4 linked regions of the Alligator mississippiensis genome follow. The protein of the gene in region 2 interacts with the protein of the main gene of each other region in a biochemical or structural test. Links are inferred from orthologs where the notes say so. Each region holds a gene or a part of one and is shown on either strand. Other genes may lie near its edges. The genes, in order: TXNIP, PTPN11, tyrosine-protein phosphatase non-receptor type substrate 1 and FRS2.

Region 1 (7,526 bases), on a different chromosome or scaffold from region 2:
ATGGTTGGAGAATAGTTATTAAGCAAGCTTTCGGGTTCAGAAACCCTTCGTCAGGCTAAGGAAGCTTCAGCAGTTGGTGTGTGCTCTTCCTGTTCAGGAAGGCGAAGCAGAATATGTCTATCTCTGCTATATTTTGAGCCCAGGCAGTCATTGCTCCTAATACCCCATTGCTGGAGAAGAATGGGGCTCTGGGCTGGGCTCTGAATCATCCCAGGGTTTGTGTGATGATGAGGAAAGACAGCCAGGGTCAGTGATGAATAGAAAAGAGATGTCCCTGCAGGAACCAGCTTCCTTTAGGCACTTATCATGTAGTGGTGACAAGAAACAAGCAATGCCACGCATGTGGGGCTTGCAAAACTCAGCTCCCTGCTCATGCTGTGAAAATGTATGTCTTCTGTGCTTCTTTTACTCTCTTACTCCCAGTCCTGTCAGAGGAAGTGGTTTTTTCAGTATTCCTTCTCAACCCCGCCCTGTGCATGACAGTCGAGTTTTGTTCTTGGGCCATTGTGAGTGGCTTGTTAGTCCCCTTCCTGACCTTCCTGGAGGAAACCTTATATGGCTAAAATATATCTCATGGAAACATCATCATCAAAACTCCTTGGAGTTCTGCGCATGGTAACAGCCACTTGCAACCAAGTCACAGGCTGCTTCTAGCAACAGTCAAAGACGGGAGCCACACCATCTGCAGTGAAACAAAGGACACACTGGGTGCATCTACACATGCATTTACTGCGCAGTAATTTACCGCACAGTAAATTACTCCACAGTAAGTGGTTTTTAGGCCAGCGTCTACACACGCAGGCATTACAGAGCAGTAATGCTGTGTGTGGACTGACTTGGGCCTAAAGTTAGTCCCAAGTCCATCTACACACGCAGTGTTAATGCATAGTAAGGCATCTACACATGCCTTACTGTGCAGTAACTAATCGGGCATAAATTTGCTACCTGTATCATGCAGGTAGCAAATTTACACCCGAGTAAGCGTAAGTCACTATAGTTGCTGCGCAGTATAGATGTGCACCTGTACTGTGCAGTGATTTTGGTTACCTAATTACTGTACAGTAATTGTGCACCTGTAGACATGCCCACTGAAGAGACATGCCACTGATTTCTGCCTGTGACACGGACAATAGCTTTTTCTGACTGTGATCAATGTCAAGGTTTTTAGACCAGGTAATAAAGATTTCATGAGTAATCTTGTGCATCCAATCTTGATTATAGTAAGGACTCAGAGCAGCAAGGAGCAGAAAGCAGCTCCAGAGGACCAGGAATAGTATGTGGTTTTGAAATGTGCTTTCAGTGGCTCTATCCCTACTGTGTTTGAGCTGCATTAGCTGATTTGAACCGTGTTCAAAATCAGCTTAGTTAGCAAAGCACAGAGCAGACAGAGCCGTAAAGCACTGTCCAACAGAGGTGTTACCGTAGTCGGGCAGTTTATTGGCACTGATCTCCCTTCAGTGATTTCACTAGGCTTCTGTCTGGCATCTTCTCTTTGGAAATGATGTGATAAACTAACGACTGTATTTTACAAGCCAAAATAGCTTGGTAAAGAAGAAAATGCTAGACTTCCCAAACTATATAGGCCACCTTGAACCTTTGTTATCTGAGAAGCTCTAATATACTGTCCATAATGGAAAACTTTTGAATACAGAGTCCCATCCTGAGATGCTCCCCTACCCGTGTGATAGTGAGGCATCTTCAGTCAGATTAGGGTCAGGGGAGCTAAAGGTCAAAAACAGGTTGGCAGAAAAGCAAGGCTGGACAGGATTCAGTTTTGGGAACGTGCCTTGGATCGCCGCACTGGCTGGCTGCCTGGCCCAGAGTTAAAATGTCCTTTGACATCTGTGGTATGTGCAGTGTCGCAGTCTGAGAGAAAGCAGCAACACACTGCAGTTTTGCAAGGGCCTGACTGTACTGCCAAAAAGCAGTACGTCGTTGGGCCGACACCTGCACTAAAGGGAGCCAAAGAAGCTGGATTTAATGCACTTAAAGGAATGCAGCGTATTCTGATAAGGAACATGGCATTTTATCCAGACCAACAGTCCATCTAATCCCTTATCCTACAGCCTGCCGCTATCCAGCCTATTGGCTATTTATCTCCATATTCCACCACCTGCCAAATTAGATCAGGTCTATGGCCCCCATAGCTCAATATCCCTCTTCTTATCGTACTGATGCAGAGCCCTAGTATGCTTGGCTGACACTAGAGGTTTCAGGAAAAGGTGCAGTCCTTCCTCTATTGGTCGACTGTAATCGCACAGTGCTCTGTCATCAAGAGGAAATTCCTTCTTTAAAAGAGCAGGTGATCAGTTTATGCCCTAACACATGAAGATGGCCAGGGGTGGATACATACACCGAATTGCAGCGTAAGGCAGAAGACAGAAATGCCAGCTTCATTACTGCAATGCACAGACACAGGGGGCAAAAGGCAGCAAAACAGCATAACTATCCTGGTGACTTACGCTACTTCTCCTAGGGAAGGGGCACAAGTTTAGATGCAAAAGGAAGTTTCTTGATTTCCCCTAATCCTGCTCCTAAAATGTGCGTTTTGCTACTTACAACCCATTTTTAACATGGCTTTTTGTGTGAACTCAGTTACTGCGAGAAGAAAACCGCTTTTCAAACTATCCCAAAACGGGCCACAGCGGTTTAGAAACGGGGTGAAAGCCTGGCAAAACCCTGAGAGGTGCTGCGTAGGCAGAACGACATGAGCCCTACATTCGCTCCTTCCCTAAAGGCGGGGGGGAGGTTTTTATTTTGTGCCGAATGTCGCATGAAGCACGTTCTTCAGGGAGCTGGGACCTGATCGGGCAAAAAGCCCATTTCCCAAGGATTCGCCCAGCCCGAGAGCTAAACATCGTGCTCCTAACAAATAAGCAATTGTCTCCTGTTTTTCACATCGCTGCCTTTGATTTCCTGCGCAGCAAGCAGTCACCCTCGTACGGCGCGTGGCAACATGGTGTAACACAAGCAAAGGGCTGGGGGGGAGGGGGGGGACTTGTGCAAATCTCAGATAGTCCCAACGTGATTAAAGGAGAAATGGGGTTTTTTGGAGGGGAAGTCTAGCGATGCCCCTTTTTGCAATCAATGCGGGTGTCCAGGGTGGTATCTTTTGGAGCATGGGGGAGGATTTGGAGTTCAATTGAAGAGTTACAGAGGATTGACCCCCCCCAAATCCAGTCATGGTGTGCGGTATAGATTTGGGGGGACTGACTACCCAGCCCCAGCACTGTGTGAGGGGAGGCCGGGGGGGCAATATGTGTGTGGGGGGATATTATGGGGGGCTATGGGCTGCCATGTAGCATTTGAAGGGAGACGCTGGAGGCCTCAAATGGTGCCTAAACCGCGTGAGGAGCAGAGGGAAAGAGGACCTGCCTTCCCACAGCCACGGTGGAGATAGTGGGGGGCTTCAGACAGCCGGCACAGCGCGTGTAAGGGGGTGGGCCGCCCTCCCGCGCTGGGTGGAAGGGATGGCGCTGAGGGGCTGTCAAACCACCCCTATCGGGGACCCTGCGCCGAGGGGGCTGAGCTATTGGCCTGCATGGAGCCATTGAAGGGAATGGGGGGCTGCGTATTGCACCCCCATAGCAGCTCTGAGGGGCAGGGGGTCTGTACTGCTCCCCCATAGCAGCTATAAGGGAGGGGGGGTGTACTGCTCCCCCCACAGCAGCTGTGAGGGGGAAGGACACGTGATTTTGGGCTGCCTCTATTATCAGTACAGGATTTGGGGGGTCGGGGCTGGGAGCAGCCACCCCCACAGGGGAACCCCTGGCAAGGAACCCCCCCCGTGACGTGACACTCCCGAGTCACAGAAGAAAAGAAAAAAAAAAAAAATCCCCTCACAGCCCAGGAGCCTGATTGGCTCCGAGAGCCTCTCAGCTTCGCCTCTCATTGGCCTCCCGCTGCGTCACTCCGCGCATCACCCCACCCCCTTCAGAACCCTGCATCTCTTCACACACTGTCCACGCTCCGCGGCCGGCGCGCCGATTGGCCGGCGAGCACGTAAACAAGGCAGCGGCAGCCAATGGGAGCGCTGATCACGCGAGCAGCACGCTTCCACGCGCCCTCAGCGTGGCATGGAGGTGATCAACAACCGAAGTGCGGGGAGGCTGAGAGTATAAAAGCGCCGCATCCGGCGCGTCTTGGCGCAAAGCCTGGCAGGCTCCGAGCAGAGCGGAGCTCCTTGCTGCTGAGCTGCGGCCAGAATACCACAGACGGCATCTCTGCTCCCTTCCCTCGGATTCCAGCGCCCAGGCCAAAAACTAAAAAGGGGCTTAATTTTTCAGCCAGCAATCTAAAAAAAAAATAGCTTTTTTCTTTTTTTCTGCACGATTTTTGATACCATTCAATTCCAAGCCCCAGGCTTTTGGGGTTTTTTCCCTTGTATTTTGGCCATTCCAGTTGAGCCTTAGCCCCCTTCCTCTCCTAGTCCCGTCTAAACCAAGCCAACTTTCCTGCCACCATGGTGATGTTCAAGAAGATCAAGACTTTCGAGCTGGTTTTCAGCGAGCCCGGCAAGGTCTACTTCAGCGGGGAGAAAGTGGCCGGCCGTGTGCTGGTGGAAGTGACCGACGTCACCCGAGTCACAGCCATGAAGGTGTTGGCCTGTGGCGTGGCCAAGGTCAACTGGGCCAAGGGCCCCCACCACTGCAAGCAGGAGATGGAGTACCTCCGCTACGAGGACGTCCTGACCCTGGATGACAAACCCACTGGTGAGAACCCGAGACCTAAATAATACGACCTAAATTGTAGGGCTCTTCTGCCCCCAAAAAAGCCTCTTTTTTGCCCAAAAATGCTTTTAAAGCAGGGTTAGATCAAAAATGAAAGGTTGGATTGAGTAATATTGGAGGTGCTGGGGTGTTTTAACACAATAGGATACTTGGCAGCCAAGTAGGGCTTTATCTGTGGTTGTTTTTGGCACTTGGCTCTGCTAGCGGCTCTTTTTTTTACTCCAGTATTTTGAGGTTTTGTGGTTATGTCCTGGCAAAAAGGTCCTAGAAGTATCTTAATGATTCATTTGGACCTGGATAAACTAGCAGAGAGCCTTAGTTGGTCTGCTGTAGGAAGCGTGTCTAAAGTTTGAGACAGAGGAGTAACAAAACTCGGGGGGTGTAGTGACAATTGGGAGATTGCAGCCGGCAGCGAAGACCTTAAAGAGGTTGATGCGGCAGGAGTAGCATCCCCAAAGGATGGGAGCGAATGTTATTGGCAGGGTAGCTGTATTGTGAACAAGCTTCCTGAGCTGCATGGAGAGGCGAAGTAATTACAGTGTGCGAGTACAGTATGCAGGACAGGTGTTACAGCTGGGGAGCCGCTCCTCTCTTGGCACAGGGAGTGATGGGCGCTGTGATTTCCTGGCTCTCTGGCACAGGGAGTTACTCCCGCCCCCGAGGCAGGTTGGAAGAAGGCACAGCTTCCCCGCTTGGCAGGGTTGTGTGTAAAAGAGTGACAGGCAAGACCAGGGATGATGTGAAATGCCTTGGATAGTTTTCCAACTTCTTTATTGGCCCAGATAGAGATTTGCAGTGGATTATTTGGTGGGAGGGAGGATGTAGAGGCCAGCTCTGAGTCCTTACTTAAGAGGATGATTAAGAAGCACGAAAAGATTGCAATGGCAATATAGCAGAAGTTTTTCAGAACGTTTCTAAGTAACAGCATAGATTATACCCAGCACAGCAAACTTTGGCACTTGTGTTGTTTCTGCTGAGACAGGATGTTGTGACAAAGCTGAGAACATGCAGCAAGACTTGAGGTTTTTAACTTCCTCTCTCTTTTTTTTTCCCCCATTGCAGATGAGGATGGCTCTGTGATCTTGAGACCTGGGAACAAATACGAATACAAGTTTGGATTTGAGCTTCCTCAAGGGTAGGTATTGATCAAACACGGCATCAGAAATGCTAGCCTTGTGACAAAATTCCCTCGGTTGTTATTTGTGCGTGTGTTTTTAATGAGCTCCTCTTGTATTGCAGACCCCTTGGTACTACCTTCAAAGGGAAGTACGGCTGTGTAGATTACTGGGTGAAGGCTTTCTTGGAGCGCCCATCAGTCCCACCTCAGGAGACAAAGAAGCATTTTGAGGTCCAGGACCCTGTTGACATCAACACTCCAGATCTACTGGTAATTGTTATATTCTTGGGTGTTGTTGGGGCAATGGTGGGGCTGTTTGCTAGAGGTGGTTCAGAGGGATATTTGCTATGTATGTAAATTTTACAGTTCCAGGGCAGATTAAGTATTGTCTCCTAAGGAGATGAGTGCTCCATATTGCTCAAAGCCCTAATGGAAGTCTAGGTTAGTTGTTTGAGATGGGTTACCTTTCTCTTGAGCTATGTACATCAGTGAGTGTCCATGAAACAGGACACTGGAATCTACCTGGAGATGCAAATTAAACCGCATGGAATACAAAATGTTATGGCAGCAGTCTGGCAGGATATGGACAGGATAGAATAGGGCGCACACAACAGGCTGTCTTCATTTGTTGTAACCAAATCCCTCTGAATCTTTTCCAGTCTCCCGTCTCTGCCAAGAAGGAGAAGAAGGTGTCCTGCATGTTCTTTCCTGATGGCCATGTGTCTGTCAGTGCCAGGATTGACAGGAAGGGGTTCTGCGAAGGTGAGCCTGGCTTCCCAGGAGGACTGGGAGATGAGGGGGCTGAATGGGACAGTGCTTGAAAAGAGCATTGCTCTGAGCAAGAGGGGAGGAGAAGGGCATGACATTGAACCATGTGATACTACTGAGCAAGGGAAGTGGGCTGTGAATCAGAGAAACTTCCCAATTAGATTGGGCTTCTCTGCTTTAACCAGTGTAGACTTCGCCATGAATAAGCTGTAAGAGAATCATCTCCACCGTGGGTAAGACCTTCCCTGTAACTAAACAATCCTGTCTTCTTTCAGGGGATGAAATCTGCATCAATGCAGACTTTGAGAACACATGCTCCCGCATCGTGGTACCCAAGGCAGCCATCGTTTCCAAGCACACCTACCTAGCAAATGGCGAGACCAAAGTTTTCGTTCAGAAACTCTCCTGTGTGCGTGGCAACCACATCATCTCGGGCATGTCTGACACCTGGCGGGGCAAAACAATCCGTGTCAGGAAGATCAAACCCTCTATCCTGGGCTGCAACATCTTGCGCGTGGAGTACTTCCTGCAGGTAAGGGTCGTGGGTACTGAAGGATCTCTCTTCCACACCAGGCCCATCATCGGGGAACATAGCATGTGCAGTTGTCCTGCCAGGGACCCCTCTCCTCCCTTAGATTTGCTCTTTGGAGTTTCTTTCAGGGCTTTGATACCTGCAGTGGTCTCACAAGCCAGTGGAATAGACATGGCATTGCACTAAATTTACAGTTTAGCCATGTCACTCCCTTTCCATTAGGAATCTTATACAGGCTTTAATGCAACAGAGGAAGGGTGATGTCATTCCTAACCATCTCTTCATCTCATTTTTGCAGATCTATGTGAGTGTCCCTGGCTCCAAGAAGATCATCCTGGAACTGCCTCTCGTCATTGGCAGCAGATCTGGGATTGGCAGC
Region 2 (7,888 bases):
AATGTATTTTAATTTTTTTTTCTGCTTTCCTTTTTCCATCTCTGATCTAAGCACACACAAGAGTTATTCCCAGCAAAAGACTGAGAGCCTATAATGCAACCAAAAAAGTAATGTATAGAAGCATAGTCTAATTAAACCATCAATCCTCACTGTGGGCATAATGTTTCCCAAAGCTATTTGGATTTAATAGATTCTGCCATGCAGCACTCTGCATCACTTGGCATTTCAAAATAAGGCAAAGCTATTAATGCAAAAAGGTAACCAACGAGACTGTCACTCCTCATTTACAAAGGGAATGGGGATATCAGAGAAGAGGGCCTTCACCCTCCTACCCTCCCAAGAGAATCATGTGCGCAGCAGGGAACATGCTCTTGCTTCAGATAAATTCTCAATCACTAAGACGTGACTGTACAAAACGTCTATTTGCAGAACTGCCATGTTTGAGGACATTCTTCAATCATGTGCTATATTAACTGCACGTTTCTGTTTTCTTATTAGAATTGGAATAATCGGTACCTGTAGTGGGGAGAAACAAACGGCATTATTTTCCCGCTTGAAAAGAGAAACAAACCAAAAAAAAAATCAATACACTTTTCCATTTTGCGACAAGGCAAACAAATTGGATCTCCCTTTTTGACTGCAGTACTGATAAAATCACTTCTAAGCCTTGGCTGCCACAAGTGGAGCTATCAGGAGGTGGTGACTTTTAATGTAATTAATCCTATTTATAGGCTCGCCCTCTACCTGCATTATCTTTGCCCATTCTTTTTCATGAGCAATTTCCAATTTAAACTTCCGCACTCACAAGCCAGAAAACAAACACATACTTTTAAGAAGTGCTCAACTAACCTAAGCAGCTATATTTGCAAGGATGGGTAGAGGAGAATACAAAAACTCACTATAAACAAACACCGAAGAACCCACACACGGGTGATTCTTAACCTTTTTAGATGCAAAGCTCCCCTCAGAAAGTGAAAATTACAGAAAAATAACAGCAATTCTTCTGTTAAAAAGAATTTCATAGTATTAAAAAAAACTTTCTGACTTGCTGTGGTCTTTCTTTTGAAAGCTCTGGGTTTATCTTGCACATTGTGCTTGCACAGCTAAGTGTGTGGCACCCCATAGCACCCCTGAAAGGATCCCAAGCCACCCCAGAGCACCATGGCATCCCAGCTGAGAATCACTGCCACACACGTGCACCTCTTCCTTCCTAACATAACACCAACTACAGAGGTGGTTCTCATCCTTTCTGGACTAGAGGCACCCCTCCTCACTAGACTCAAGGCCCCTCTCCACCACTTTTGTGAACACAGTAGCACAGATTACAGGCTTGCCTCCTTGCAGAGAGGCTGGGCAGTGGTGACAGGATATTATCCAGGCAGGGACAAGCCTGAGCCTGCACTTATCTGCTTAGTTTCGCCGCTTCTCTCCTCAAAGCACCCTTCAAAAGTTCTGGTAGCGCCTCAGGGTGCCCCGGTTGAAAAATCACAGTGCTAGGGGATAGGAGAAGGGTGAATGAAACCGAGCCATCCAGTTTCACCCTCCCGAGCTCAACAACCAGAACAAACTGAATCCAAAAAGGAAAACACGGCCAAGGACCAGAATAAGAGGAGTAAAAGAAAAGGCTGTCCATTAAGTGCACTATCGCTCTCATCATGGGGCCACGAGTTCAGGGGCTGCAGATGAATGCGTCAGAGAGAGGGAGACGAGGTTCTCTGGGTAAATCCGATATCTTTTATTAGATCAACTCAAATAGCTGTAAAAATCCTTCTTTTCAAGCTTTCGGGTATAAATACTCTTTCACCAGGCTGAGGAAGCATCTGCAGTTGGTGTGCACTCTTCCTGGGTGGAATGGCTACAGGGAGGATTTCCAAGGCCCCTGGTACACATTACATATCTTGCGCAATAAACCCAGATGGGCCACCTGTGCAAGATAACGATCACGCCATAAAAAGGATTCTCCAGCTCTCAAAAGAGCCAGCCAGCTACAAAGCCAGGGCTTGAAAACGTGGAACAACTCAGTGGCCCCTGCTACAAATTAAGCAGATTACACAATTAACTGGTTAACTGCACAAGAAACATAAGCCGGCCGCACATACAAAGGAAGACGGCCTACTAGTGCGTGCGAAGGAATTATCACACCATTCACTGGTGAATCGCACGATACATTCACACCGGCCACACATGCAAAGTGATGATCATGCAACGTGCCAATAAATTCACACCAGCCACCCACACGAAGTCACAATCGCACAATTCACTGGTGCGGCACGCAATAAATTCAGTCCAGCCCCCACGCAAAGTTGCGATCACACAACTGACTGGTAAAATGCGCAATAAATTCAGACTGACCATCCACGTGAAGGCGCAATCACACCATTCGCTGATGATTCGTACAACAAATTCGTACCAGCCACCCGTGCAAAGTCACATTTGCACAACTGCCTGGTGAACTGCGCAATAAACTCCCACCAGCCACCCACGTGAAGTCACACACACACAACTGTCTAGCGAAAGGTGCAATAAATGCAGCTGTCCCCTCCATGAGAAGTCACGACTGAACGATTCACTGCCGAATCGCGCAATAAATGCAGCCCAAGCCCCCGTGCGAAGTCACGACTGCACAATTTGCTGCCAAGTCGCGCAATAAATGCAGCCGGGGCACCCGTGTGAAGGCAGGATGGCACGACTCACCGGTGAACTGTGCCCCTGGCCACTTGTGCCAAGTCACCATCACTCCACGGACTGGAGCGCGCAATAAATGCGCACCGGGGAAGCGCGCCATAAAGGGGCCCGATCCCGCCCGGAAGGACTCTCCAGCCCCACAGGGAAGGCGCTGCCCCTCTCCCCCCCCCGAGGCAGGGGCCGCCCCGTCCTTGAGGGGGGGGCCAGGTCCCCTCATCGCGGGGGGAGGGGCGGGGAAGCGGGGGGGGGAGGGGCCCGGCTCCCGCCTCACCTCCGCGATGTCATCTTCCCGCGGCTTGGGCCCGCCACAGGGCCGCGCCCCTGCCGGCCTCCCCCCGCAGCGGGCCGCGGCCGACGGGGCCCTGAGGGGAGCGTGCACGGCCGCCGCCTCCAGGCCCCAGAGGCGCGGCGCGGCCAGCAACGTCATCAAACAGCGACCTCTTCCTCCCCCCCCACCCGCGCTTGAGAGACGCAGGACTACATCTCCCGGCCTGCCCCGGGGCGGGCGCGGTGGCGTCACGCGCCGCGCTCTTTAGCGCCGGGTGCCCGGATGTCCACCCCTTTTCCTTCTCGGAAGGTGAGGATGGCGGAGCCGGGCTGGGCGGCGCTGCGGGCCATCCGCCGCCATCCGCCTCCGGGGGGCGCTGCCGGGGCCCGGGGGGATGCTGGCGGGCTCCGGGGGGGCGCGATGCGGGGCGGGCAGCGGCCGGGCATAGCTGATCCCGGCGGCCGGAGCAGGAGGGCCTGCATCTTCCCTTCCCCGGCCCGGCCCCGGCTCCTCCATCCGGGCATGCTCGCTGCTTGTCTTCCCGGCCTGTGCAAGGCAGTCAGCAGCCCTGGGCTGCTCCTTTCCGGTCTCCGCCTGTACAGGGGTTCCCGTGGGGTTTCTTGAACCACGGCTCCTCTTCTCTTTTTCTTGGCTGCTCTGCCCATCCACGTGCTGTAACTGATGCTGTGCCCTCCTATTGGCTAGATGGCAGGCGAGAAGGCGGCAGGTGAGAAGAAGGCTAAGAAGCCCCGGAAGCACCATGCCAGCCGCAACCCTGTGCTGGCCCGAGGGATCGGGAAATACTCCCGGTCAGCCATGTACGCCCGGAAAGCGATGTACAAGCGCAAGTACACGGCCCCAGAAACAAAGGTATATGGAAAACAAGCTGTCTGTGCGTTCATTTGTTCTGGCAGACGAGGTTCTTTAGGTGAATGTGATGATCTTTCATTAGCCCTACTCATTAACTTGTTCTGATTCTTAACCCGTTCCTTTGTTGTCTTCTTGTGCAGATAGAAAAGAAAAAGAAAGAAAAAGCAGCTGCTACCATCACCAAACCAGTTGGTGGAGATAAGAATGGAGGCAACCGGGTGGTGAAAGTCCGTAAAATGGTAAGGTTACCCCCCACCCCCCAAAAAAAGATGTCAGATAAATAGAGGTTTGCTCTTGCTGAACACTGAGTTGCGTTGATGAAAAGGAAGAGATTTTGGCCCTTTATGTTTTGGGAAGTGCATTCAGTACTGATTTTACGTTGCTCTCCTATGAGACTGCAGTCTTGCAGCCCTCAGCAGACACTGTCTGGGCGCTAGTGTTGAGTTCTGTCGTAGGTATGTTCTCAATCTAGTGACGTATTGCTGTCTTCAGTGAAGCATGTGTGGGAGACCCCCTTCCCCACACACATACACGCACATCTTATTTGAGATGATGCGTGTACTCTCTGAATTGACGTGTCTGAAGAAGGTGCACGTACCCCGTACGTACTGAATTAGAAGCACAATCACAAATATCTTTGCATTTTGTGTGACCTGCTGGGTACATGATGCAAAATGTGTGCCTTTAAAGTGCCAACTTCCTTAAAATACTAGCCTGCAGCAAAGAGAACCTTGCGGGGGGAAAACAAGTCTCTCCCAATGAAATGAAAGGGAGTATCTGTAAAAGGGGAAAGACCACAATTTGAATGAAATTATTTTATAAAGAGGCTGGAATATTTCAGTTCATATTTTGTCGTGTGTTCCCTCTAGCCAAGATACTATCCAACTGAAGACGTTCCTCGTAAGCTCTTGAGTCATGGCAAAAAGCCCTTCTGCCAACACAAGAGGAAACTGCGGGGTAGCATTAATCCAGGAACCGTTCTGATTCTTCTCACTGGTCGCCACAGAGGCAAGGTAAATGGGAAACTTTTTACAAACACTTCTATGCTGTGTTTGCACTTCATTATATTGATTGCTCGGTTATTATTCCCTTCCTCCTCAACACGTTAAAATAAAGTCAGGGTCATCGCCAGTTGTGTGGTTCAGTGTGTGCAATTTCATTTTACGCATATTGTTTTCTGCTGTCTTGCTTTATCTGGACAGTACCCCTCTTTGGTCCTTTGGGAGGCTTCAAGAACAAGACTGTACTGTACGTGGTCAGAATGAATTAGGAGAAAAAAAAAAGGAATGACTGGGCAAGTTACCTAGACACTATTAAAGGGACGTTCCCATACTCTACAAATGATACGGAGTCATGGGTCAGACTTGCGTATCAAGAGTAATATAATATTAATTACCATATACTATTCGTTGCCATTTCTGACTAGGAAAAGGAAGACCCAACATTTAAACTATTGCAAAACAAAATAAAGCAACGTGCATTCTGGATAACGAATTGCAAAGGAAAGCTATAAATCAATACTTTTAATATCACTGTAGCAAACCAAACATCAAAAGACAAATTGGTATCAACACTTATTTTCTTTATCCTAAGAAAAGCATCTTTGGGTAACTGACACTTTAGAACAGAATTTCTAGTTAGACCTTTCACTGCCCTGCTTGCATTTTTTGCTTGTATCTAGTCAAACGCACATGGTCATAAAAAGAGGCTATTTGGGGGGAGTATTCATTGAAACCTGAGCCACGTGGTGCAAAGCTGGTGCTGCTTCACCTTTCTACGGAAAGTTTCTCCCCCTCTAATTTTTTCACACGCACTGCTCGTTACAGAAAATTCAGTCAGTAAAAGTGCTGTCTGGGCAAGGGTGTCAAGATGACTGACTGACTGACTTCTGTCTGCTGGGAGAGGCTCTAATGTGAATGCAGTTAGATTGGCAAAATTATGCTTTATCAGTATAGCTTGTTTTGGCTCCTGGGGGATGTGTCTTTTTTACTGTCCTGGCAGAAAGTATAATTCAAGTAGTGTAGATACGGTTCTACTTTTTAGGTTGTGATATATCAATGATATATATTTAAATATAGATAGATATTAAACTCTGTAAACAGTCCTTAATGCTGCAAGGCTAAGACTAATGCCCTCTTGTATCCATTTCCAGCGTGTGATCTTCCTGAAGCAGCTTGCTAGTGGCCTGTTGCTTGTAACAGGTAAGCAACTTTTTCACTGAAATCTCTTTTAAATTTTTAGTTTTAATCTCCCTGTGACATTTGACTACATCATGCATCTCTGAGGCAGTCTGAGTATCACAATGGGCATTACATGGCATGGAATTGCTTATGTAGAAATATATACCTTTCCAGGAAAATTAATTCACTTACGTTTTAATATCTGGAAACACTAGCAAGATAAGAAAAAGCTTTTAGTGTTGTAAAGCATGAAGAAAGGGTGTCCTAATTTGTGTTTTGTTGTTTTTTTTAATGAGGCTTAGTACTCTCCTCTGCAAGAAATATATGCTTTATACCTGAATGTTATTCCATGAGGGAAACTTAGTTTCCTTAGAGCACAGATAGCTGCAATCTCAGAAATGAAATGCTGCTCTTGTAACTCACTTGGATTTTTTTTGTCTGCCGCTAGGACCCTTGGCTATCAATCGTGTCCCTCTGCGCAGGACTCACCAGAAGTTCGTTATTGCCACTTCCACCAAGGTTGACATCACAGGGGTGAAAATTCCAAAGCATCTCAGTGATGTGTACTTCAAGAAGAAGAGGTTGCGTAAGCCCAAGCATCAGGAAGGCGAGATCTTTGACACTGAAAAGGAGGTAAGGCTCTTCAGTGACCTCTTTATAGTAGGGATGCAAGGAGTGGGTTGGGACAGTCTTCCTCTAGAAGCATATTTTTAATGCTACCTTTTCAAAAAGAACTTAAAAAGCATAGAAGGCCAAATCGGTTTAACCTCATATGGGAACCTTGATAGCAACACTTGAGAATCCACATATTTTAAAATGTGCTGCCTTCAGAATAGCTCCTGCACTGTTAAACAACCAGCAGGAGGCGAACAGCATCTCCTAAGATTGGTGGAGTTGGTCTTGCACATAAAGTTGAGTTGTGAAATCTCCCTCTCAATATGCTCTCCATTGATTTCCTGTCTATGGAAGGTATTCTATTTATTGTGGTGTTAGGGACTCTATTTGCACTGTAGTTTGAGCTGGTAATTTAATCTAGCTCTAGCTGTTGAGCTGTTCTTTATTCTTTGAGGGGGAAAAATATAGATAGATATAGAGGGAAAGAGAGACTGTGTAAAACATCACAGTGCTGTCTATTCCTTGTGGCTCAAAAGGAATGACCCTTTTTTCAGCTCCTGAAGATGGAGTGCTGAGAAGCTTACCCAGCTAAAAACCTTGGCATGGCAGGGAAATGGCCCTTGTGAAGAAGTTCTGCAGGAATAACAGACTGAAATCTGTGGGGTATTCTAACTTTAGTCTTCTCTTTCTTAGAAATACGAGATAACAGAACAACGCAAAGCAGATCAGAAGACAGTGGACTCACAGCTTCTACCAATAATCAAAAAGGTGCCTCAGCTCCGTGGCTACCTGCGTTCTACATTCTCCCTCTCAAATGGAGTTTATCCTCACAAATTGGTGTTCTAAATATTTTAAAGGCATGACATTAATATTAAAGTTTGTGGGGGAAAAAACAAGGCTCTGCACCTGATTCCAGCTAGTTATCTTTGTAATTAAATACATTCCTCAGAGCAGTGGGGGCCAACCTTCGTGGCAGGCATGTCACAATTAAGCTCCACACCCGCCCTGCATGTCACTCCAGTCCTCTTCCCCCTGCCTGATCTGCTGCTTTCCTTTCTGTTCCCTGCATTATCTGCCACCACTTTGCCTGCCCCCTCCCCAGTGTATGTGCCACTAGTTGCCACCCTGGTTTAGACCTCTTCATGAAGTAAAAAAACCTGGTTTGAAATTGGGTGTTTTATGCATTGTGGCATAGGATTCCAAATGGACGGAGCTGCCTGTATGATGTGCAATAGTTTTCAGGTGACATTTTAGTGATACTTTCATCAAA
Region 3 (7,270 bases), on a different chromosome or scaffold from region 2:
GTCACGGATGCGACGCCAGCAGAAAGCACACGCGGTTCCCCCAGATATCGTCCCCTCCTCCCATGCCACCAGCAGACCTGCTGCTTATAGCCCAGCCCGGGAGCGCTGACCCCAAGCTCCTTTGCTGGGGAGATCTGGATGGAAGGGCCTGGGAGTTGAGCCGTGCCAGTCCAGTACACTCGGTGGAGATGGGGCATCTAGTCTGAGGATGGCTTTACCCAGGATGGGCCGTTTGCCCTTCTCTGGTGCAGTAGGAAAACTTCTTTATAATATTATTTCCCCTGCTCCTCTTCTGGCGCTATGTGGTTGCAGCCCTCTGACCTACACAGGAGAGCTGTGCGCGCCTTCTAGCCCCACCGCAGTAAACGGAGCAAGCAGCATAGAAGAGTTGGCCCATGCATTAAACCCGACACCAGCACCGAGCCAGCCTTGTGCGTCTGCATCTGAGAATTCAGCACTTCCTAGGATTCAAATGACTGGTAATCTAGAGACTTGATGATTCCCTGCATTTCCCATCCCAGGGATCAGGGTTACAGCTGGCTAGAGAATGGGTTTTATTCTGCAAAAATATTGCCAAAAAGACTTCTTTTTTTTTTTTAACTCCTTTTGCAGTGGCGGGGGGTGGGGAGGTAGAAACTCCAAGCTGAACATTTAAGGTTTCAGCCACCAGGACCTGAAGCACTTTCAAGTGCGGGGAGTTTTGGTTTTTTTCCGTCTAAAAAAAGAAAATTGAGACGCCGTGCTAGAAGCACCTGCTTCAGCTCGAGCTCTCATTTGGCCATGCTCCATTTTCCACTGAAAATAAAGCATTGGTGATTTGTGATCAGCCCTAACGAGCAGGCCTGGCTTTTGCACATGCCTTCTCCTCCCCCCCATCCGGGCAGTAAGGCGTGATGTGGAACATCTGCCCAGGGGCTGGGCCTGGGGATGAGAGGGGGAGCGGTGGGTGGGATGGACCTGGCAGGTTGGCCTCTGATGCTGCTGGAGGGCACCAGAGCAAACTCAAGGGGTTGAAATGGGGCTGTGTTCCCCCGCAGGGTGCCCCCTAGCCGCGCCACGCTGCTCTGACACTGGTCCCAGCTGAGCCCAAATCGGGGTGGGAAGTGGGAGCCCTGCATGAACACCAGTGACCTTGAGCAGGAGGAGCAGGGTTGCTTAATCCCTACAGCAGAGCATAATTACTGCCCCTTTCCCAGCTGCAAACAAAGTGCTGATGTCCACTGTGGTCACACAACTCGGTTCCTGATAACGGAGAGACAGTTACCGACACCGAGGGACAGAGCGGAGTGGAAAAAGGGAACTCAACGACAGGAAAAGGAGCGAGACCGTGTCCGCTCCAGATCCGTGCACCATTCAATCATTAGGCAGGAGTGTAAGCCAGGCATCTGGGAGGTGCCCAGGTACCAGGTGGGTAGCATGAGTGCCTCAATTAGAGGGTACAGCTTGGCTGGGGCAGCAAGCTGTGTGTGGGCTGGGTATTAGTTGCCACCTTCCTCCCCCCACCAAACCCCCCCACCCCCCACACAAAACCAACCCTACAACTGATACCAAGCAAGGCAACCTGCACCAACATGACATGAACCGTGCAAGCTGGGGCGATGCACGTCCCAGCGCACCGAGGGCAGGTCTCCCTGCGCCTCCTGCTGTCCTGTGGGGCTGCCCGTGAGCCCCAGGTTGCACGGCAGTGGAGGGGCACAACCGCTCTGTTTTCACTTGCTAAGCACCTCACATCAGCGGGGCTGCACCACCTCAGGCTGTGTCCTTGCTGCCCGCAGCCCCTTATGCCCTTTGCTGCTTCTCACCGGGAAAGAGGAACAAAAACGGGCACCAGGCACTTGCAAAGCAGCTCTGCAGCCTTGAGGGGGCTGGGGCTGGCACCCTGCTTCCTGCCACCGTCAGCCTGCCAGGCACGCCAGACATCTCCAGCCCCTTTAATTCCCAGCTCTCTCCCCAGCCCCTGCTGTAGTGCTGCAGTAATTATAGGTCAGCGTGCAGAGGAGTATTTTGGTGCACCCGAGTTGAGTGGCTGGAAGAGATTTGCATCGCGGGAGGCTGATGGGAGCCAGACTCCAGGGAAGGAGGGGGTAGGGAGGGAAGGGACAGGTTCAAGGTTACAGACAAAAACCCTCCTGCCAGGAAGGGGAGGCAGATCCTACAGGGGAGTCCTCACTTACCTGCCCAGCTGTTCAAGGAGAAGAGGAAGAGAGAGGTCAGGCACCAGACAGGGCAGCGGGAGGCAGCGGCGAGAGGCTCCATCGCTGGCAGCTGGCAGGGCCGATGGGGAACAGTTGCACAGAAGGGCTGGGTGCTGCTCCGGGAAGGTCAGAGGCAGAAGGAAATTACGCTGTCCGCAGCCCGCAATGAGGAAGAAAAGCCGGGCAACTCAGCCTGCAGGCGCAGAGCACACGCGTGTTACCAAGGCACGCGATTCAAGCACCCTGCACTGACCTGCCCACGCGTGTCGAGGGTGGGACCTGGAACCTTGGGGGCGGATGGAGAGGAGCCCCCTCGCTCCCCGTCCAGCCATGGGCACCGGTGGCGATGCGCCCCCTCACTACCCATCCATTGACCCCTTCCTAGGGGTCCCCAGGCTCTGGTGGTGATGCACCCCCTTTGCTCCCCACCCAGCAACCCCTTCCTGGGGGTCCCCAGGCACCGGTGGCGATGCACCCCCTCACTCCCCATCCAGCATCCCCTTCCTGGGGGTCCCCAGGCACTGGTGGCAATGCACCCCCTGGCTCCCCACCCAGCAACCCCTTCCTAGGGGTCCCCAGGCACCGGTGGCGATGCACCCCCTGGCTCCCCATCTAGCAACCCCTTCCTAGGGGTCCCCAGGCACCGGTGGCAATGCACCCCCTGGCTCCCCACCCAGCAACCCCTTCCTAGGGTCCCCAGGCACCGGTGGCGATGCACCCCCTGGCTCCCCATCCATGGCCCCTTCCCAGCCGGGGTGTCCCGGCGGGCGGGGGGGCAATGCGGCAGCCCGGGGCCAGCTTGGGATGCCCAAAGCCGAGCGGGGTGGCCGCCCGCGTCTCACCCGGCCGGGGCGGTGCGGGGCTGCCCGTGCTGCGGCCGCGGCTCCCGGCTCTGTGCGCTCCCGCAGCCGCGGCGATGCGGGCTCCGCGCCGCCCCCTGCGCGTTGCCTAGCGCCGCGTGGAGGGGCCGCTTCCCCGCGTGGACCAGCCTCCCTCCCGCCCCGCCCCGCCCCGCCCCGCCTGGCGGGGGCCGGGCTCGGGCTGCGGGCTGCGGGCTGCGGGGCGCTGGTGCCGGCGGGCGCTGCCAGTGCCAGGCTCGGAGCAAACTTGTTCTGCGCTAAGGTCATCCCGGCCGCCCGCCCCGGCCAGCGCGGCTCTTAAGGTGGCCCCGAGCAGTTCCCGCAGCCAGCCCGCTCCTCTGCGCCGGCAGGGAGAGGCGGGGAGAAGGCAGCCCTGACCCTCCCTGCCACTGCCTCGCGCGCGGCCCCGGGCGCTGCCCTGCTCTGCTCTGCTGCACGCACCGCGGGCTTGGTGGCTGCTAGGGCTGGAAAAGCAGCAAGGGTTTCACCCAAAGAGGGTGGCCTCGCACCTTCTCTCTGCATCCTGCTGTGGGCACGGTGACCCAGGCTGGAGGGAGGGGCTCTGCTCCCCCCCAGCACCCGGTCTTCTCGCTTCCCCCATGCCCAGCTGCTCAGCGCCCCTCTCTCCGGCATACCCGTGCCTTGTCCCAGCCAGCCAGGCCACAAACTCTGCACCCGCTGTTCCCGGGAGCACGCGTGCAAGTGCCCCCCGCTTCGTCCCAGGTGAGAGCACAAAAGACCGCGGGGGAAATGCACAAGCAGCATCCCCGGCCTGGCACCTTGCGACATGATGCTCGTCATGAGCTAAGGGGAAACCCCCCGGGAGGTCGTGCACGGCAGGAAGAGCGTGGAGGTGGGAGAAGCCGGGGATGAGATGCTGGAGTAGAAACTGAGGAGGGGAGGGGACAAGGTCCTGTTTGCAGCTGCCTGGGAGGCCCAAGACTGAGATCTGCAAGTGTCCCAGTGCCTCGCCTCCCCATGCACACACGCACTGTGTCTGAGGACCAGAGGCAGGTGTAGCCCCGCCACAACCCACTCAGGCCCAGGCCTTCCTTCTGGCATCTCTTAAAAGGGGCGAGCAGCGCAGGCACTTGTACTGGAGCCAGGCAAGGATCTGTGGGCTCCTTCCGGCAGGAACTTGCTGCGGGCCCAGGCGTGTGGAGCTGGTGGCATGAAGCTGCGGGACCTGCTCCCTGCCTCTGCTCTACCTGGTGACTGCACACGATGGGGGGAGCGTGCAGCACAGCAGTCGCAGGCGGTGTCTGTACAGCCCACGAGTATGGCCATACTACCATCTAGCTAACTGCAGGGCCATAGAGCGAGCTAGCCATGAGCAAGCTTCAGCACCAGCCCCCTTCGTAGTCGAGGACGGGGGCATCGGGGATGGGCCGCAGCCTGCACGGCTGCTAGATCTTTGCTGTTGTAGACACACGGGCTGGTGTGCTCACAGCTCGCTTAGGGAAGCAACCGCAGGGTCCCTCTGCCCACAGGGGCTGAGTAAGCAGCTTCCACCGAGGTGGGAAAGTCCAACTGGGCAGTCATTTCTGCTTTTGCTGCATATGCGAACAAGAGGAACTCCCAGGTTCGTCCTAGGGCAAGCTGGCCGTTATGCTCCTGCTGGGCAAGGACTGTCCGAGGCCAGGCGGGCAGGTGGGTGGGCACCAAGTAGACCAAGAGCTGTTCCCGTGCTCTGGAGAGCTTTTCTGGCTTGCTGCCTGCCTTCGCCCCTGCTCACCACAACACTCCACCCCAGGGAAGATGCGCCAGCGCCGATGCCATTCCCTGTATTTATATCTTATCATCAACAAATAGCAAAGGCATCTCGAGTGATTTGGAGCCATCAAGCTGTGTGTATTGTCAGCCCATACAAATTTGTGTGCTTATTGCTGCAAGCCTCCTCTGCCCTATTGTTTGCAACACCCACATGTTGCATCCAGCCTTAATTGAGTTTGCCGGCGGAGCCAGGCCAGGACCAGAGGGACCGCACGTCTTGCTGCCTGTTGGCGCGGTGCCCCTCTCCACAGAGCCCCAGGCTGCACGAGGGGCTCCTGGCTGCTGCCATCACCCCGCGATTGCAGATTTCCAGCCTGCATCCAGCCAAGGCCACCGCCACCCACCGAGGCAGCCGTTCGCTGCTCCCATTTTGACTTGTGCACAAGTGAGCAGTGTTCGGTTCGTGAGCCTGTGAGAGCCATTTGGCCCCAGGGTGGAGCTCCATTGCAATCAGTCATTTGCTCCTACATTCAGGCCCATTTGGTCCCATGTTCAGGCCCTGTTTCAAGGCAGGCGGTCCCAGGGCTGTGCTGGAAATGCTCCCTTGCAGAGCAGTGGGAAGGTGGGGTCCGCGTGGGCTCCCTGCAACTGCCTTCATTCCCCCTCTCCATGCAGGTCCGACTTCAGAGCAGCTGCTCTGCTGCCCACGCAGGATGCAGGGCTCCTCTTTCCACAGGGACGCAGGGAGGCACGTCCAGCTGTCTGCAGCCTCGTGGTTATTTTTAATGGGAGTCAAAATGCCGGGAGGCCCGTGCCACTCGGGCATGCCTGGGCTGCTCTCCCGCCCTGCGCCGACGGCTTAGACAACCTGTTTGAAGGCGCTTATGAGGCGGAGATGCCATGCTGGCAGACAGCAGCTACAGAGCGGCGAAGAAGGAAAGATACTGAGCACGGCGGGGGGGAAGAAAGCAGGGCGAAGGCCCGCAGGTGGAAGCATGAGTTGTGCATGGGAATCAGCCGGTGTTGCTCCCCTGGAAGAGGCAGACGATCAGCTGTCCTCCCTCCAGAAAGTCCCTGTCCAAGAGTGCCGGGTCTTCCGGGACCTGCCCCTCGAGGGGGGCCCTGACGCAGTGGTAGGGGCTGCAGGTTAATAAGGACCTGCCTGAGATGAGAGTGCCGTTCCCCCCCCGATGTTGGGCGCCCGCGCGGGAGCGCAAGAGCTGGGAGCCTTTCAGAAGGCATAATGCCATAATTAGTAGTTTCCTTCAGAATCAAACACCCACAGCGAACAGGAGGCTTGCTGTGCTATTCATCAGGGGAAGGGTAGTACTGCCAGACTCTAAATACTATTATTGGGCAGCCAGGCTTCGCTCAGAAACTTTAGCTGCTGCTTCTTTATTTAACCTGCAATTGCCACTTCAGCTGAGAGAGCGGCACGGAGGGCTGGGCCCAGGTTTGCCTTCACCTCTGCAGCTCTTCCAGGTGGGTTCAGAAGTCATGCAGCAAAGGGGCTGGGTGTTTGCACCCTCTCGGCGGGTCCTGGCCAGGCTCGGTGCGTCCGGAGCTGCTCTGCCAAGTGCAGTCATAAGTAACTTGCAGTCGCGCCTGGGCTGAGGAAGGGGAAGCTCCCAGGAGAGCTTGTCAGGAACAGATTTGCTTTCACTGCTGAGTGGGGCCGGCCGTGCCGGAAGCACTCTCCATCCTGCTCTCGGGGAAGCACGAGGGATGCGGCTGGGAGACCCTCTGGGTTGGTTGCTGGACAGGCTGCAGGCCCTTGGAGTCTCTTTCCAGTAGCCTCAGCTAAATGGCCAGCCCTGGCTTCCCTTCCAGGGCTCAGCGTTATGTGCAGCGATGCAGAAGCACGGCTGGGGCCTGGGAAGATCCCTCTTCTCTGTGGTGCCATGTTCCCATCTTGCAGCCCAGCCCCAGGTCTCAGCCAGTTTGTTCATGACTCGGTCTTGAATGGGTGCGTGCATGTGACCGCCGTCTTCCCTAAGGGGATGCACCCCCTTCACCTGCTCCACGAGCAAAGGGTATTTCCCTTCACCCATGCTGTCCGTACAGGGGAAACAAAGATCTTCTGTTGCCTCGGCAGGGTATGAACGTCAGCTCGAGGCCTGAGAGAGGCAGGCAGTGCCGGCATCCCTCGTTGAGAGAGGTGGGTTGAGGCCACTTGTTTAGCTTGGCTGTGGGATGTCCCGTATGAGTCCTGGGCACTGTGCACTCAGGTCGGCACCGTTCAAAACCCAGCTGCAGGCTGCGTCCAGCTCTGCCCCCAGCCTGGCAGCTGCCTTTGCAGACTGAAGTGCTTTGCCTGTGCCCTGGTACGTGCTAGCATTTGTCCCGTGATCCCAGCCGGTACTCCACGTCCCTGATGCAGGAGCAGATTTCTGGGCAGGACGCCTACCCGGCTAATGGGAAAAGCTGAGCCCGGGGGCAGCCACACACCAGAGGAACGCGCTCCCTACCCTTAGTCCGATCCTCCCCGAGTCCCTGCAGCCC
Region 4 (8,092 bases), on a different chromosome or scaffold from region 2:
CAGTTCAGGTAGACAAGAAGTTTACCTATCCAATGTCCAAAATCCTGTACATGCGTGTACACTTGTGCGTGTGTGCACAGTTGAACTTTAAACTTGAGTCGCTTCATTGATTTCACTAGAACTAAGCCGTGTAAAGTTAAGCACGTTTACAAGAAAAATAGATTTTAAACATTTTTTTTCTGGTCAAGTATTATTAGCAAGCTAATCTTGTCTGAACCTAGTTCTAGAGTTTGTATCAATGACTGCAAAGTGGCAAACAAGAATGAATAGCAGAGCACCTATTTGCACATAACTGAATGTAAGGTAAAACAGGCTAGAGCTATTTAAAGGCTGCTTAACAAATGGACTAGAATAGAATCTGGTTATTGAAAATACTTTTAGACATAACTACACACGCACAAATCATTTTTGAGAAAATGTTGAGAATTTGCTCTTTGTCCAATGCATCTGCCACTTAAGAACTAACATCTATTTTCACTGAGCTCTGAACTTAGTTTTAGTCTTAACTTAGTAAAGGTCATCTCTAGGCACAGCTACTACCCAACAGAATCATTCTAACTTTTATTTGGTTAATTAGCCTTGCTACTCACAGCCAGTGTATTTTATCCACATTTCTTTTATACGATTGATTTCCAGGTAGAACTGACCTAACATTTCTTTCCACCAAGCTAAGCTGAAATTCACAGTCTTGAAGACCATTTGTGGAGAAGTCCCATAAAACAGCAGCAGTTCAAAACAACAAAAATGACCATTTTGTGTACAAAGCTAAACAACATTTATAAAATAAATTCTCCCCTTTATAACACTACCATGGTTTGTTACATGAGTGAGAGATACATACATTGCTATGCAATATTTAAACAATAAGTTTGGAATCTATGCACATCTTTTTTAGAACTATTTTCCATATTATCAGAATCTAGGATTTTTTCAACACATTATAGAATTACTACACTTGAAGAGGCTGCATAGAAAAGATTACAGTCTTTGGTGGATACAAAGAATGGTCAAAATTTAAATTAAGACGCTGAACTGGAAAGAAAGCAAAATCATGGAAGGAAAAATTAAACATATGAATATGGTTACTGGAATACTGTTTTAATAAGCACTTCCAACACATTTTTGACACAGAAGCACATGTTAATCAGGGGGCAATAATCAAATGAAAGGCAAATGAGAAAGGGACTGAATTTAGAGTTTGATGGGTAATTGCTACCAATATAACATGCATTTCCTTTTTAAAAAAGGAGAGAGAAAAGAGTGTTTTCAGTGCAGTGGAAACTGAGGAATATGTATATGGGACTCCACTTCTAGCTAACTTCAGTACTGATATTGGGCACTTTCTGGAACTGAACCTATACATCTTAATAGCAAAACATTTTAATGCACCACGGAACCATACAAAAACCCATATAGCTTTTCCCCTTCTAGAAACTAGACTGCTCAGCTACTAAATTGCATCCAGAAGAATATTAGTGTAAAGAAACTGCCAATATCAAAGCAGCTTGAAATCGACAACTATTCAGGAAAAAAGTGCATGCTTTCTCTTTCATAAATTCACAATGCATCCACACCTTGAATACTGTACCCAGTTTTGGTCTCCACACCTCAAAAAGGGCACAAGAACCAGAGAAGATCCAAAGAAAGACAATACACATGATTAGCAGTCAGGTGGGGTTTCCATAAGAGAAGACATTAAACAGACTAGGCCTATTAAGTTTAGAAGAGAGATGCTTGAGGGAGGACATCAGGGTTTACCAAAATACTAAATGGCAAAGAGAAAGTAGAGAGATTTATTACTCACCCTCTCACAAGACAAGAACTAGGAGGGTCACAAAATGAAACGAGTAGGTAATAAGTTTCAAATGAACAAAAGGAAGCTCTGTTTCATACAGCATGCCATTGAAGCGTGGAATTCACTGCCATGAGATGTTGCGCAAGTTGACAGCTTAGCCAGACTAAAAAAGAGAGAGGATAAACTCTTGGAGGAAACAGTCATCAGTAGCTACTGAGCATGGGAGTCAGGGGTGCAGCCTCTGAATCAGAACTTCCTAGCCCAGCATTTCTCAGCCCATGGGTCAGGACACAAAAGTGGGTCACAAGAATATATGAAAGGGTCAAGAAGAAACTTTAAAAATGGATCAATAATGGATTCGCCTTTAAAGGAGAAAAACATGGGAAACCGTGGCTTTTCCCTTGCAAGCTGGCAGAGCTCCAGCCTGCAAGGGGCTGCTTGGGCCCCCCTGCCCCACACAATGAGGAACTGGGGTCTGGGGGCAGTGGATCAGGAGTGACAAGCACTGGGTTGGGACTAGCCATCAATGTTTACAAATGGGTCCTGGTACAAAAAAGGTTGAGAACCCCTGCCCTAGACCTTAATGCTAGAGGCTGCAAGTGAGAGAGAAACAGTGGGGAAGGAAAAAACCCTGGTCATACCCAGTTTGGTCTGTCAGCATGCACTCTCTGCCACTATGCAACTGGGAAGAAAGGGGGCCAGTTCCTGCCTGAAGCCCAGTGTGACACAAGAGACCAACCAAAAAGGACCTACAGCTTGACCCAGTCAATAGACATCACTTCTCCTGAAGCCTGTCCAGCAGAATAAGAAAGCATTTGAAGAGCACATTCAAAAAGAAGTTGCTAGGGAAAAAATAAAAAGGAATAAAAAAAGTCGCCCAAAAAGAGCTGGTCAGCAGCACAGAGCACCACAGAGGCCAGGCTGATGCCAAGCCTGACTCGTCCTACCTCCTTCCCCACCGCTAAGCACGATGTTGCACTGTGACTAATCACTCAGGCGCCTCACAGGCGCTCCCTGGTCACTGCCACCTGCGGACAAGCCGTGCGAGCACCGCAGCCGCGGGGGGACCTGCAGCACCACTCCCCCAGGACCCTTCAGCCCCAGGGCACCCGCCGCCAAGCGGGTCTGGGGAACCTCCGGGACAGCATCAAGGGGAGGGCGGGACACCAGGACCCTCCCGGCCTCCGTGTGCGCAGACAGGGCGAGGGGGCCCGCTCCTGCCCCTCCAGGCTCCCGGCTCGAGCTGAGCCGGCAGCAAACGCTCCCCAGACCGGGGCTTCTGCTCTCGCCCGTCGCCTCCCGCCAACCGCCCTGGCCGGCTCCGCTCCCGTCGCCCTGCGCGGGCTGCGGCCGCCGGCGCCTCACGGGTGGGGGGCACAGGGGGAGCCCCGGCCCCAGGAGACTGCGAGCCTGCGCACGGGGCCCTCCCGGCACTCACCTCCGCCATGAGCCCGGGCCTGGCCGCGGGGCCGGGCCGGGCTCCGAGTGCCGCCGCCGCTACCAACAGCAACTCCCAACAGCGGCACCAACAGGGCCTCGCTCTGGGCCGGACTCTGCCCGAACTACTTCCGAGGCACCCCCACAACTACTTCCGGGGGCAGCGGGAAAGGGCCAGGGCGGGGAGACACGGCCAAGGGGCCCGAAGCGGCCGGCGCGGGAACAGCCAATAGGAAGGGAGAGCGACTGGGGGGGGGGTGGTGGCTGCCATGACAACCGCGTATGCAAATCGTTCAGTGAGCGCGTTCAGTGACTGGCTGTTCTTTTGCATGGAGTTGGAGCGCGGGGCAGGCACTGCCCGTGCGACCCGGTGCTGCGGGGCAGAGGGGAGCTGTCGAGGGCCTCGGTGCCGGACGGCGTGCCCGCCCGCCCAGGGACACGGAGCTGGCTCTCGCTGCTTCGGCACGCGGATAGGGCACCAGTAGTATCGGTTCTGCGGGCCGAAGTGGTGGCGCCTGGGGCTGGATTGGCCAGCCGCCTTCCACAGCTCCTAAGCCTGCAGAAATAAGTCTAGGCAGCTGCATCAGAGGCCGCGGGGAAGCCAAGGCCATGTCTGGGGCAACCTGGCAAAAGCTGCAGCTGGTTTTACCCAACATGGAGAGAGCAGGGGGGGTGGGTCTCAGGGCCTTTCTCCTTGGCTGACATCCCGCTGTCATTTTAGGCGGTGCTCTGCTATTTCAGCCCCCCCGCCCCCAGTTTCTCACATGATTTCTTATAAAAAGGGAGGTGACAACACTGGCACTAAAAGGAGAAGTGTAAAGAGGTTTGGAAAACTGCAAGAAAGATACAGGGAAGTAGCACACAGCTGCCTCTGGTCCTCATCACAGCATGACCTTTGGGACCTTCCTGCTTTTAAAAAAGTTTAGGACCATGTCTTTCTTGCTTCCTTTCTGTAGGACTGTCCTGTGGTTCTTCAGGTACTGTCTTGTCAGCGTGCTTGTTAACAGGCGAGATGGGTCACTGTCCTCAGGAGTTTGAAATCTAGAACTGCTTATAAGTGTTTGTGAAATTACCTCTTTTGATCCAGTCAGTCAATATTTGGGAACCTGTGGGATGGGTGTTTCCACAAGGAGGAAAAACTGATGGTGGAGTTGTGTATTTTTTGGATGCAGTTCCATATACTTGCAAAAGAATGCGTGCCGTGCCCCAGGACACAAAAGGAATCAAACTTGCCGTAGTTCCTTTGCATCCCATACTGCCCAAAAAGCTCACCTTCATCCTCCTCTCAGGCTGTACTACAATTGCTTCTCTCTTATTCTCTGCCTGACTTTTTTGCTTCCTCCTCTATCTTCTTCAGGTTGCTGACATGCATCTCCACCACACACTACCAAGCCTCTTACACTTTCACTCAGCAACTCGATTCTGCCCGCTTCAATGAAACTTGTTAATGCTCTGAGTTTGGGTCAGTGGTTCCCTCCGTTGCAGCTGTCATACTTTAGAAAGTAGCTCAAGTGTTTCTTGCAAGATGGCTGTCTCACCTGGCTGCTTCAACAAGTTATTCCCCTGCTTTCTACATAACTATCCCACAGCCAGTCACAGAGGTTACAGTTTACCAAGAGAATTAGGCAGATAAGGTTCTTTGGGTGAATCTGATACCTTTTTATTAGACCAGCTTAACTATTTAAGTTGGTCTAATAAAACATAGATTCACCCAAAGAACCTTGCCTGCCTATGTCCTTAGACCAGCACGGCTACAACCTACACCCCTGTATCAAGAGAATTTGCATTCCTGCAAATTAAGGGAAGAGAGGAAACACATATCTTTCAAAGCACACTCATGCTTTATGCAGCCTTTTCATTGCTCTATTAAGGGCAATGTTTGTGATTCGTCTACTAAAAAAGCCAGCAAATTAAGATACCCTTATTATCGTGCTTGTGCCCATGTCAGCATATGGCTGTGAAATCATGGCACTGCAATCTGTCTAACCCCTTGCAAGTTGTCTCTTAGGATTCCTCAAGGGTTGTTGCAGGGGTGAATGGTCTGCTTTGCTAACAGATTATCTCCAGTACAAACAGTGGTGACCACCTTCTATAGATTTACCACTCCAGAGTTCCTTTCAAGCGATACAATAATTTCTTCCAAGATGAACTTAAACTAAAGTAAAAAGCCACCACCATCTCAAGTTCTTTTTGTTTTTGTGGTAATAATGTCCCTGACTTGTAACCACTGGCATCCGTGTCCATTCTGAAGAGGGTTTTGAAAAATGGGTAGGCTAAAATAGGAGCAAGCCATTTTCAACTCCAAAACAGCTAAATCTCACTTTGCTGGCCCCTAAATGGTTTCCCTCTCTCACCCAAGCTATGCGATGGTTTTCCAGTATTGGCAAACCTACAAATTAATCTTGTATAATAGGAGAAGAGAAGTCTACACATCTGAGTGCCTGGGGAGTTGGCTGGTACAGCACAGCTCCAATTTACCTTTTTGTCAGTAGAAATTGCCCCTCCGCCCCTCAGCGATCCCCACCCCTCCACCCACACCAATTATAAACAATGCACATTTTCTTTGGGTTCAGTTTCAAACTGGAAACTGATCATAAACCATCATTTCCCATTTTAAAGGTGTCAGAATGCTTCATTTGGAGGCTTGCCTGCCTCTTACATCTTTCAGCATAATCTAATATACCCACTGCACACCAATGGTTTACAACTCATTGGCTTTGCCTGAACCATATTTGTAAAGGCAATTTCCACCAACTAAATTCATTGAATGTGTTTCCCGACATTTAAGGCAATAGTGTAGCATAAGAACCAGTACAGAATAGAATAAAATAGAATTTATTTCAGTTATAGCTGTAATAAAATCAAGTCAAGTATTAGCACATCCACTGTGTCTGCTAACCACATTTTGCCCCTTTTTAAATAGGTGTACACTTCTCAACTGTAGTCTCCATTTGAGATGAATTAGATCAAATCCTGAGCTACTTATTTCTTCACAATTTTAGTACAGTATATTTGAGACAATATCCACAACCCCCACACAGCATGCCACAAATCCTATAACACATTTTATAACCAGATTCCCGTTATTGTAGTCTAACTGCCCAGATCTTTAAAAAAATCCTATTGGGGCTGATCTTTATACCTCTAAACATTGTGCTTTCATAATTGGGATTGGGTGAGAGGCTTTCACTAGGAAATTCTGACTCTGTCTTGGGGAGCATTATACATATACTTCACCCATCAGTTCCAATAATGTTTCCTCTCATCTTTTGTCTAGCAATGTGTTCCATTCTTCTTGCAATTGTACTGGCTGTATGTGAACATGTGTACTTGTGGTACCTTTGCTTTAAGGTCACACTGGAAAATTTTCTCGCCAAATGTATGCATAACTTTCTTTTAATTTGGCTTTGACCAGGTTGCCTGTTCATTTCCTTGATGAGCCTATAGAAATATAGATGACAAGTGAAATGCTAAGACTAATTACTCCAAGTTGCTATATGAATTAGCATTTAATTGTCTGTACAGAAGCAAATATACAGAAATGCTTAGAGACAGTGTGCTTCCTAATATGCTTTTATAATGGATTACAGAAGATAACTGACAGTAGGAGTCAGAGCTATTAATCAAACATTTGTTATTGAATACATATGGCATCCATTTTTTAATTCCTTCAGAGAGACATTTATATGATACCCCTAATTTCTTTAACCATAATGTGTAGGAATTGAGAATAGGGTGATTTTGCTAATAACCAAGATGAAAGGTCTGCAAGTGGAATTTATGAACTGCCTACCAATTTAATGTTTGAAAATCCTAAACCCTTAAAGAGAACTCCATAGAACTGAAATTAATAAAAGTTAATATCCTTTATACACATGGACCCAGTCATGAATGGTTAAAGTTAGTGAGAGTTTTGCTATTTATTAGAAAAAACATACAAACTACTGCAGTATGGATAAGACACCATTCTATAAAAAAGAGAGTTTAAGAAGAACACTTCTTTTTTATATAATTGCTTTCTCCAGTTGTAATAAACATGCATTTTATATTATTAAATACAAAAGGCAAACCTTTCTAAAGACATGAGAGTATTGTATGTTAACAGTTTTTGAGGAGCTTCTCACCATTTATTTGAACAGTGAAGGATGAAATAGATGTTTTAAAGTCAATGAAAATATTTCCAAAACATAATACAATTAAGTCTGGTTTATCATGAACAATAATTATATGTTACTCACAAAGATTTTTCCACTCAACAGTAGAACTTATGATAAAACCAAATTTTAAGTTCCCTATCCCTTTAATATAATTACATGCTGAGTAGAAATTTCTGTTTTCAGAGGCTCTTATATCAGCAGAAATAATTTCATGTTGAGCAGTACTGAAAATAGCAAAGGGCAATTCTTTTTGACACAAAAACATTCTCTTCCAGCGATATTAATTCCCTCATTCCAAAAATAAAGTATGTGGTTAAAACTCAAACCACGATTATTAGAAGTTGTGTTGAATTTTCCAGAAACATTAAAACAATGCTGGATATTTCCAACTCAGTTTGAAAAAAAATATATATAAAATTTGGTAACTATTCATTTAACTAATGCCCTGATTCTTTAAACAGCCTTGCATGCTTGAGTGATCCATCTACAGTGATCATGTGTTGATATATTCATGAGCTTCAAAGGAAAAGAAAACATGTACATTTTTATGGGGAAACAGCAATGATTTTTTCTAATGCAAAGATTCATTCACAGGCTTAGCAGTATTCTATGAACTAAAACATGTGCATAGGTCTACAAATTACGGTCCAAAGCTTTAAAACAAACCTTTTATTTTTTAATGTAAAGACTTTCACAATTTGAA

The links.
Region 1: the proteins of PTPN11 (region 2) and TXNIP are reported together in a solved structure, tested with the Homo sapiens proteins (2 studies listed by BioGRID, with this or other methods). The link is inferred for Alligator mississippiensis from reciprocal best matches to the Homo sapiens genes PTPN11 and TXNIP.
Region 3: the proteins of PTPN11 (region 2) and tyrosine-protein phosphatase non-receptor type substrate 1 form a complex in vitro, tested with the Homo sapiens proteins (2 studies listed by BioGRID). The link is inferred for Alligator mississippiensis from reciprocal best matches to the Homo sapiens genes PTPN11 and SIRPA.
Region 4: the proteins of PTPN11 (region 2) and FRS2 interact in a test that uses a peptide from one of them, tested with the Homo sapiens proteins (2 studies listed by BioGRID, with this or other methods). The link is inferred for Alligator mississippiensis from reciprocal best matches to the Homo sapiens genes PTPN11 and FRS2.

The regions. Positions count from the first base shown.
Region 1 is NC_081838.1:17,945,172-17,952,697, reverse strand, and holds the start of TXNIP (thioredoxin-interacting protein), read left to right. Parts: upstream 1-4,138; 5' UTR 4,139-4,462; coding exon 4,463-4,712; intron 4,713-5,792; coding exon 5,793-5,865; intron 5,866-5,969; coding exon 5,970-6,117; intron 6,118-6,506; coding exon 6,507-6,609; intron 6,610-6,890; coding exon 6,891-7,147; intron 7,148-7,445; coding exon 7,446-7,526. UniProt on the Homo sapiens protein: May act as an oxidative stress mediator by inhibiting thioredoxin activity or by limiting its bioavailability.
Region 2 is NC_081833.1:3,953,230-3,961,117, reverse strand, and holds the start of PTPN11 (tyrosine-protein phosphatase non-receptor type 11), read right to left. Parts: upstream 3,105-7,888; 5' UTR 2,971-3,104; coding exon 2,957-2,970; intron 1-2,956. Other genes in the region: RPL6 (large ribosomal subunit protein eL6), read left to right, coding at 3,236-3,262, 3,659-3,823, 3,964-4,062, 4,693-4,836, 5,976-6,024, 6,452-6,636, 7,312-7,464. UniProt on the Homo sapiens protein: Acts downstream of various receptor and cytoplasmic protein tyrosine kinases to participate in the signal transduction from the cell surface to the nucleus. Positively regulates MAPK signal transduction pathway. Dephosphorylates GAB1, ARHGAP35 and EGFR.
Region 3 is NC_081832.1:2,105,649-2,112,918, reverse strand, and holds the start of tyrosine-protein phosphatase non-receptor type substrate 1, read right to left. Parts: upstream 3,193-7,270; 5' UTR 3,038-3,192; intron 2,389-3,037; 5' UTR 2,257-2,388; coding exon 2,175-2,256; intron 1-2,174. UniProt on the Homo sapiens protein: Immunoglobulin-like cell surface receptor for CD47. Acts as docking protein and induces translocation of PTPN6, PTPN11 and other binding partners from the cytosol to the plasma membrane.
Region 4 is NC_081827.1:69,859,114-69,867,205, reverse strand, and holds the start of FRS2 (fibroblast growth factor receptor substrate 2), read right to left. Parts: upstream 3,369-8,092; 5' UTR 3,234-3,368; intron 1,959-3,233; exon of another isoform or gene 1,805-1,958; intron 1-1,804. UniProt on the Homo sapiens protein: Adapter protein that links activated FGR and NGF receptors to downstream signaling pathways.